2 linked regions of the Callithrix jacchus genome follow. The protein of the gene in region 1 interacts with the protein of each later gene in a biochemical or structural test. Links are inferred from orthologs where the notes say so. Each region holds a gene or a part of one and is shown on either strand. Other genes may lie near its edges.

The links.
Region 2: the proteins of CDC42 (region 1) and ARHGEF7 form a complex in vitro, tested with the Homo sapiens proteins (2 studies listed by BioGRID). The link is inferred for Callithrix jacchus from reciprocal best matches to the Homo sapiens genes CDC42 and ARHGEF7.

Annotation. Positions count from the first base shown.
Region 1 is NC_133508.1:58,817,225-58,821,475, reverse strand, and holds the start of CDC42 (cell division control protein 42 homolog), read right to left. Parts: upstream 2,849-4,251; 5' UTR 2,798-2,848; intron 1-2,797. UniProt on the Homo sapiens protein: Plasma membrane-associated small GTPase which cycles between an active GTP-bound and an inactive GDP-bound state. In active state binds to a variety of effector proteins to regulate cellular responses. Involved in epithelial cell polarization processes.
Region 2 is NC_133502.1:26,672,599-26,676,997, reverse strand, and holds the start of ARHGEF7 (rho guanine nucleotide exchange factor 7), read right to left. Parts: upstream 2,824-4,399; 5' UTR 2,458-2,823; coding exon 2,293-2,457; intron 1-2,292. UniProt on the Homo sapiens protein: Acts as a RAC1 guanine nucleotide exchange factor (GEF) and can induce membrane ruffling. Functions in cell migration, attachment and cell spreading. Promotes targeting of RAC1 to focal adhesions. May function as a positive regulator of apoptosis.

The DNA of each region.
Region 1 (4,251 bases):
GAAGCCCTGCAGCCTAAGGTGCTCATTAAGTGTTTCTCATCCTCTCAAAAAAAAAAAGACAAACTAAAATAGAGAAGTGCATTTAAAACATATCTATAAATAAAAGTACAACTTGTCTTTTACTTCCAAGAAAGCCTGTCCACAGCACAGCAGCTCATGCCTATATCCCAGCACTTTCAGAGGCCAACAGGAGCAGATAGCTTGAGTACAGGCATTCCAGACCAGCCTGGCAATATGACAAAACACTATCTCAACAAAAAAAATACAAGAAGTAGTCAGGCCTGGTTGCATGCAGCAGTAGTCCCAGCTACTGCAGAGGCTGAGGTGAAAGGATTGAGCCTAGAAGGCCGAGGTTGCAGTGAGCTGTGATCACACCATTGCACTCCAGCCTGGACAACAGAGTAAACCCTATCTTGAAAAAAAAAACAAAAACAAAAAAAACAAAAAACTCAACCAATTTGTTATTTAGGTCCCCATACTACTCTAGGCTATAGCATCTGCCTTAGAATCTCAAAAAAATTAAGTTTAATAAGAACAGGTGTTGGTTGTAATCTGAAAACATTTTAAGGGAAAATAGAGGATGTAATACCTTTTGGGTCTTTTAGAAATTACTGAAAACAAGCTCATTTAATATTCAGTTGATTATCAGTCTCTTATCTCCATCTCAGTATAAAAACTATACATCCAAACTATACATCCAAACCAAGGTTATTTTCTAAAAGGAAAGACAAAAATTGGTATTATTTAAAATTCTAAAATATAGCAAGCTCAAGAAAATAAGGTAGTAGATGCGTTCCAATGTTATATTCCTAAAATATCACATCAAGGCTAACAAATGTATTTCAGAAGATCCAAGTTCCACACCTATCCCATGGTCTGTAATGCCTACACACTACAGAAAGCTGCCTTGAACCAACACTCCTTTTGTTTAACAATCTGTTCTCTCTATAGAAATGATAAACAGTGGGAAAGCACTTGTTTCGACATGAACTATCTTTACAACAATGCATTACACAATTGGATCTCATTTGCTTTACAGTGTTAACATTTTTCTGTGTTACTATTGTAATCGCGGAAGGATATAAAATTTAGGATATAAATGCTTAGGGAAAGAAAAATTATGATCTCTGCTTGACCCTAGGAGTTACAGACCAGCCTGGGCAAGATGGCAAAACACACACACACAATTAGCCGGGCGTGGTGGCACATGCCTATAGTACCAGCTACTCGAAAGGCTGAGGTGGGAGGATCACTAGAGCACGAGAGGCGGAGACTGAGGTGGGCTGCACTCTAGCCTGGAAGTGCAATATCCATTGTATTTAGTAACGTCTTTGAGACCTTTTCTCAAAAAAAAAAAAAAAAAAATTGTGATCTCAAAAGTATGAAAACATTAAGTTTTTTGCTTAAAAATCCAAGTCTCGTTTTTAATAACAAAACTAAAATGTCTAACAGACCAGGCGGAAACTGATCCTCTTTTCAACACACCTGCACCACAAAAAGTGCACTTGAATCAACTAGGGAGGTTCTCGGCATGCAGTAAGTCATAAAGAAGCCAAACAGTCTGGGAAAGTCATGTTGGACCGAAAAAGTGTTCCCACAAATAAAACCACTTCATTCTAGTATAGTCAAAGGGACCTCAATTTAAAGTTAATGCCCACGCAAGCAGCTTGTCTTATACTTTATTCCCTGACACAAGCTAATCCTGGGGTTTACTTCCTGGCTTTTAGGTGCATTGAAGGCGACCATGACCACAGTAACAAGGTTTCAAAACATCATCTGATTACGATGCGTTGGGAAGCAGGCAGAATAAGCCAAGGGGTGACCGACTAAAGCTGCAAAATGCGGTATCAATTTGTAAGTCCCTGACTTGTAGGAGTTAAGTCTCACTTCTTATACTGCGATGACGTAATCTTCCACACTGCATTTCTCTTAAGACTTAAAGGGGAGGAAAAACAAACGAACAAAGAAAATTTCCCCCCAGTAAGAGGAATTAAGCAAGCAGCAGAACGACGGTTTCGGGAGGTGGTTAAGTAACTCCCCGAAAGGGAAGCTTCAGCTGAATCGGTAGGGAGCGGGCTGGAGAAGAGGACGGAAATGCTAGGAACTCGACCTCAGGCAGGAACAGAGCAGCTCGCGGCTCGGCGCCACCCGGCCCGGACGACGCGACCCGAGCGGAGGGGAGCGCCGACAGGCACCGCAGCGGGCAGCCCGCGAGCCGCCCTCCCGACACCGCCCCGCTGCGGCCGCAACGCCGCTCCCCTCCCCCCGTGCCGCAAAATGTCCGCGGCTGCGCCCGGCGAAGCAGGAAGTCGGGCTGGAGCGCAAGGCACAAAACCCAGCCTGTGGGGACCGGGGACCGGCGCCCGGCCCGCCTCAGGCGCCCGCGAGTCGCTCCGAGGCCCCCGGCACCCGGGCCCCTGCCACCCTCAGGAGCCCGCGGGGCCGGGCTGGGGGGAAGGGAGCCCGGGCGCCCGGGATGGGTGTGACCCCTTCCTTCCGCCCCTGCCGGTGACAGCCCGGCCCCGCTCGCGCCCCGAGCCCCGGCCGCGCGCCCCACCACGGGTGGGCGCCCACCGCCTCCCCGGCCGCGACCCCCGCCCCGGGTCCCCCACAGAACGCGGACTCCCGCCCGCCCGGAGGACGCAGCTCGAGCCGGGCACTTCCCCGCGACCCGCGCTCCCAGGCGTCCCGAGATTTCGCAGACCAGGTGTCCCCGAAAACTGGGAGAGGACAGGGACAGCGGGGACGGGAAGGTGGGGGAGCCGCTCCCGCGGGGACCCTCGGGCCCCGCACTCACCTCAGCTTCTCCACCGGGGCGTTGGCAGCACTGCGCGGGGTCTCCTCGGCTGCCGGACAGGGGCACGCACTTGACGTCAGCGCGCAGGAGACGCACAGTCGGGTGCCCGCGGAAGTGGGAGGAACAGGGAAGGGGAAGAGGCTGGGGCGGGTCCAGGCGGTGCCTGGACTGCCCTGGCTCCGCCCGCCTGTCGAGCACGTGTGGGTCGGCGCCGCTAGAGTTCCGGGCTATACTCTGCATCTTTTCCCAATGATTGTGTTTGTAATAATACTGGTAATGGTAGTTTGCAAAGAGCTTCCACTACCACTTCTTTCTTATTTGTTTGTTTTTCTGAGACACAGTCTCACTCTGTTGCCCAGGCTGGAGTGCAATGGCTCGATTTCAGCTCACTACAACGTCTACCTCTTGGGTTCAAGCGTCCTCCTACCTCAGCCTCCCAAGTAGCTGAGATCACTGGTACCTGCCACCACGCCAGGCTAATTTTTGTATTTTTAGCAGAGAAGGAGTTTTGCCATTTTGCCCAGGCTGGTCTCAACTCCTGACTTCAAGCTAGTGATCCACCTGCCTCAGCCTCCCAGAGTGCTAGGATTACAGGCGTGAGCCGCCGCGCCCAGCCCACTGCCAGTTATTTTGATCCCTGCAACCTTGTAAAGCAAGGTATTATCCTCCTATTTTCAGAGGAGGCTTCTCTGAAAGGGCTGGTGACTTGCCCCAGATCAGAGGAATGGATAGCCTCTCATTCCCCCTGGCCTGTATTCAGTCCGACGTGACGTGAGAACTGAATACCGCTCTTCTTAACTCTACCTACACCCCAGTGTCCCTTGCCGTAGCCACATGGGTCACATGACTTACAATCTTTCCCCCAACTACAGCCGCTGATTTTTGTTTGTTTGTTTGTTTTAGACAGTCTTGCTCTTTCACCCAGGCTGAAGTGTAGTGGCATGATCTCAGCTCACTGCAGCCGCGACCTCCCGGCAATTCTCCCACCTCTGCCTCCTGAGTAGCTGGGACCACAGGCACATACCACTGTGCCTGGGTAATTTTTTATTTTTTTGTAGAGACACGGTTTTGCTGGGTTGCCCAGGCCGGTCTCGGACTCCTGGATGCAAGTTATCAGCCAGCTTCAGCCTCCCAAAGTGCTGGGTTTACAAGGTGTGAGCCAAGGCCTTGAACTTTCTTTGCTCTGCCTCCCTCTTCTTCCCCTGACTTTTGGTTGTCTCTCTCAACCCTCAAATATCACTGCCTTCTCCAACCATCCTATCTTTGCAGTATCTGTTTATTATTTGTTTTCTCTGCTAGTCTGAAAGCTTCAGCAAAGTAGAGAACTTCCGTCTCTTATTCTTGAGATGTTTCCCTATGTTAGAGAAAAATAGCTTAAATAGCTTGTCTTAATAACAGCTCATTTATTGATTAGTGCCACAGCTATTTGGCCAACAAAGACACTTAATTCCAGT
Region 2 (4,399 bases), on another chromosome or scaffold:
CACTCATCCCCAGCCTCGTGGCTCAGGCCAGCTTATGAGCTTGCAGAGGCGAAGGCTGCAGGCCACTTGCCTTCTGCTCACTGGCTGTCCGTGCACCCCTGCCGCAGAGGTCAAGTGAAGCCCTGCACATCCACATGAATATTTGGTTAAGTATCCAAATGCTTCTTTTTAAGGAAAAACATCCTCAGATTCACACTCCCACATTTAAGTAAAAATTATTCAGCATGTATGCTTTGTGGCATAGATTATCTGGTAAGCATGCAAACATCAAAAACCCAGATAACTGGCTGGGCATGACTGCTCATGGCTATAATCCCAGCATTTTGGGAGGCCAAAATGGGACACAATTGCTTGAGGCCAGGAGTTCAAGACCAGCCTGACCAACATAGCAAGACCCCATCTCTATTTAAAAAAGAAAGAAAGAAAGGAAAGAAAGAAAAAACCCAGATAACTCTCCTGGGAAATGGAAAAAGCTCACAAAACTTCTGAAACGCAGGGATCTTAGAGACAGAAATGGCTATTTTGCTCCAAAAACCTACCTTTGAATTCCAGAGAACCAGCAACTGTGTCTACAATATGCTGCTTTACATTAAACTTTCACTGTGACAGAGTCAGTTTAAAACAAACCAACTGGAGCTTGGGGGGGAATGAAAAACATATTTGACCTAAGACATTTCCAAATGACTGCAGTTTTAGAATATGTTGAGTTGTTTTAAGTTGGCTTCTGCAAGCTCAACATTTTATTCATTCCTCTCTCCGTTGTTTTAGAGTTGAAATGAATGCTACAGTTTTCTAGGAAAATCTTTCTAGAATTCAGAAGAAAATGATTATTGAAGCCTGTCAATCACTATTAATGCAGTTAATATGCCAAACACCACATTCTTTGATGGCGACACGTTTTTATCAACACGGCATATGAAGTTTCTCAAAGCTTTGCTTTCAGAGATGATACAGGATTTTATTCAAGCCTATTTTGGCGAACTTAGCATGTATTTCAACACTTTTCGACATCTGTCTTGTATTACCAGAGGTACCAGTCTCCAAACAACAAAGTATTTTGAATGCCTTGAAAGTCAGATCCTGCTCCTTAGTCCTCCTGTCTTAAATCATCATGTCACTGTGACATCAGGTTCATTTTAAAGGAACGTTTTTATTTCATGGACACTCTAATATGCAGATTCCGTCTTCATAAAAATGTGCCAAGTAAGAAAAATACCTAAAACTGGAATGTAAGCCAAATTCACATTTAATGTTTTCTGACCTCATTTAAAATGTAGCAGCAGAACATGCGCACGTGTATAAGATTAAACATTTTACTTTTCAAGTCACTTAGGTGGCATTTTATTTACAAGTTGTCATGCTGTATGGGGGCCAATACACCCCACTTAGAAACTTAAGTCGTTCTTCCTAGTTGTGGTACTCTTCAGTTTCTGTATTTAACACATTTTAAATAATTGTTGATCTGAACGCTGTGTATTGGCCACCCACCACCCTCCCCTCCTCCAAAAAAAAAAAAAAAAAAAAAACCCTGGGAATAAGATTGGTATTTTGAGCTACAGGGAGACCTCGTTTTTAGAAGCTCTCCTGTCTCCTGGGCCCTGCTGGCCGGTTTGTGGGCGATGAAAACAAACTTTAATCACTTCCAGAAATTCGGGTCAGGGTTCACACGCTCCAGTCTGGGAACTACCAGAGGGGAGGGAGAGGCAGTGCCTGCAGGACTCTGGGTTCTATTCAGAACCAGGGAGGGACCTGAGAACGAAATCTGAAATTTTAAACAAGCCTTGCAGAGTGCCGGGGCTTAAACCCTGTGTCTGCCGTCCTCTCGGATGGGGGTAATTTTCTCCAGGGGAAAGTAAGTACATCATTTCCCAGCGCAGCCCTCAGCCGCAGATGCGAGCATCTTTAAAAATGCAGAGCAACCGGTCCATTCACCGGGAGGCGAAACACGCAACGCCACCGGCAAGAACTGTCCACACAAAGCCAGCGGACAGAGCCGCACGGCGTCGGAACGCGGTTCCGACCGGGCCGCGGCGAGGCAGCGGAGCCCACCTCCAGCGCGGAGGGGCCACTCGGCGTTCGGACCCCCACCGCCCGCGCCCCTCCTCCCGCCCCCTACCCAGCCCCGCTCACAATGGCGCCCCCGGAGCTCCCGCCACGGTCCTGGCGCCGGCCGCGCCGCCGCTCCGCGCACAAAGGAGGGCGCGCGGTCCCCCGAGCGCGGCCGGCCCCAGGTGCTCCGCGCGCATCCCGGGCCGCAGCGGGCCGGGCCGGGGGGCGCGGGCGAGGACTTACTTTCTCGATGGTCCCGGGCAGCAGGCGCTCCAGCAGCCTGCAGAGGACCACCCCATCCTTCAGCGACGCCTGCAGAAAGCCCTCCGGGTCCGCGATGGTTTTTTTGGGCGACTCCAGCACCCCCAGGGTGATGAGCCACGTAACGGTCTGCTCCGCGGAATTCATCGCGGCGGCCCGGGAGGCGGGCGGGCGGGGAGGGGCGCGCGCCTGCTTCACCTCGGAGCGGCTGCCCGGCCCGCGGCCCCCACCGCCCCCGCCGCCGCCGCCGCCTCCTCGCCCATGGAGCGGCCGGCGCCGGCGATCGGCTCGGCGCGGCCCAGCAGCTCCGGCCCGGCCCGGCCCGCTCCTCCGTGCGCCCCGGCCCACGGTCAGGCGCCTTCTCAGGAGCGGCTCAGGAACCTGCGGGCGCCCGCCGCCGCCCCCCGGCCTCGGCCGCCGTCGCCCAATGACATCACCGCCAGGAGAAGAAAGACGCGGCCGTCCGCCCGGCCCGCGCCCGGCCCGCGCCGCCCCGCGCCCTGCGCAGCCTCCGCTCCAGGCCGTGCGCGGGGCGGCGGCGGCGGCGGCAGCGGGGAGCGGGCGGGGAAGGGGGAGCGGAGCGTGGGGCGCAGGGCGCGGGGAGAAGGAGCCGGGGGCCCCGGGCGGGGGCGGGCGCGCACCTGCGCTCACCTGCCCCGGGCCCGCCGCGCGCCCCGCGCCCCGCGCCCCCGGCCGGGGCCCCGGGAGCCCTTTGTTTATGTTTTGAATTCGTGAGCGTTGAAATGATGAAGTGCTTCCCAGAATGCTCTTTTTATTTTTGCCGGTTTTGTGTCACGGTGGCGGGGAGAGGCTGAAAACGAGACGTTGGTTTGTTTCCCTTCGCTCCCTCCGGTCACTGCGGAGCACGGATGAGGATGACATCTGCGGCCGGCGGGGTTTGGAGCGGGGGTTGAGCGGGGACTGACGCTCAGCGCGCGGCGCTGACCTTCCAGGCCGGGAAGGGGCCTGCGTGACCCCGCTCGAAACGGGCGGCGACGCCTCAGACCCTGCTGGGGGAAGGTCAAGGAGAATGGGCGGCCTGAAGCAGGGCTGTGCGAAGGGCCGGGTCGGTCAGGGCTGCGAGTCGGGGGGCGCAGCGTCACGGAAGAGCAGGGCTGGAGACCGCGCTGTGAACGCGCCAGGCCGAACCTGGAGATCCCAGACGGCAGCTGTCGGGTCATGCGCGAGCTTCCTCGAGCACCTGATGACACGCACACATTTCCACGCGAGGAACAAATGGAGCCTTTTCTTAAAAGGACGCGCGTCTCCACTCACTCCACCCACTGCCCCTGAGCGCTCTCCCCAGTTTGCTCGCTGCGACCCGCGGGCAGTTGAACAAGCAAAGCGCTTACTCTATGCCAGGCACATCCATTAATCCATTCAGTGGCAGAGGCCAGAAAGCACATAAAGCTTCCAAAAATAATCAGAGGCTTAGGTCGTCTCCCTCTGCCTCTGCCGGTGGTTTTCTCTTGCAATAACTAACTGCATTTATTTCTAGCCTTGAGTTAAGTGTTTAAAATTTTCTTTGCAAATACACAAACTATTCAAGTGGCAGTATGAATTCTGGATTACGAGGACAATGTGCTCTCCGTGATAACAGCAACCAGCAGGAACCTCACGAAGAGCTGTCTACTGCCTCACCTCCCATCATGGTCCCCGTTTTACCGATCAGATGCCGAACACATGGCAGAGATGGCACCCGAAGCTCAGCTCTACCAGTAAAGACATAGCTAACCCGTTTCTTCCTGCTGCCCTGTAAGCTTTCTAGGAAACAGGAGAGCAATCCACAGCTACATCAAGCCTTGTCCCTAGAGTCCCCATGGAAAGAAGGACGTCAACCCCGGAGTGGTTGCCCACCGAGACTCCTGTCCACTCTCCTTACTGCTGAATTAGAGAAGTCATTTCACATGCAGTCCTTACCATTCCGAATCCTGCTAAATTCGGTCTGGTACTTATAAGCTGCTAGACTTGAGTAAGATTCAAATAGACTCAATTAAATGGTCCTCCAGAAAGCCAGCTCTAGGGAGTGGCCTTGGGACACAGTGAAGCAGAGACTCACTTATTGTCAGACCAGAGAAAATTACAATGG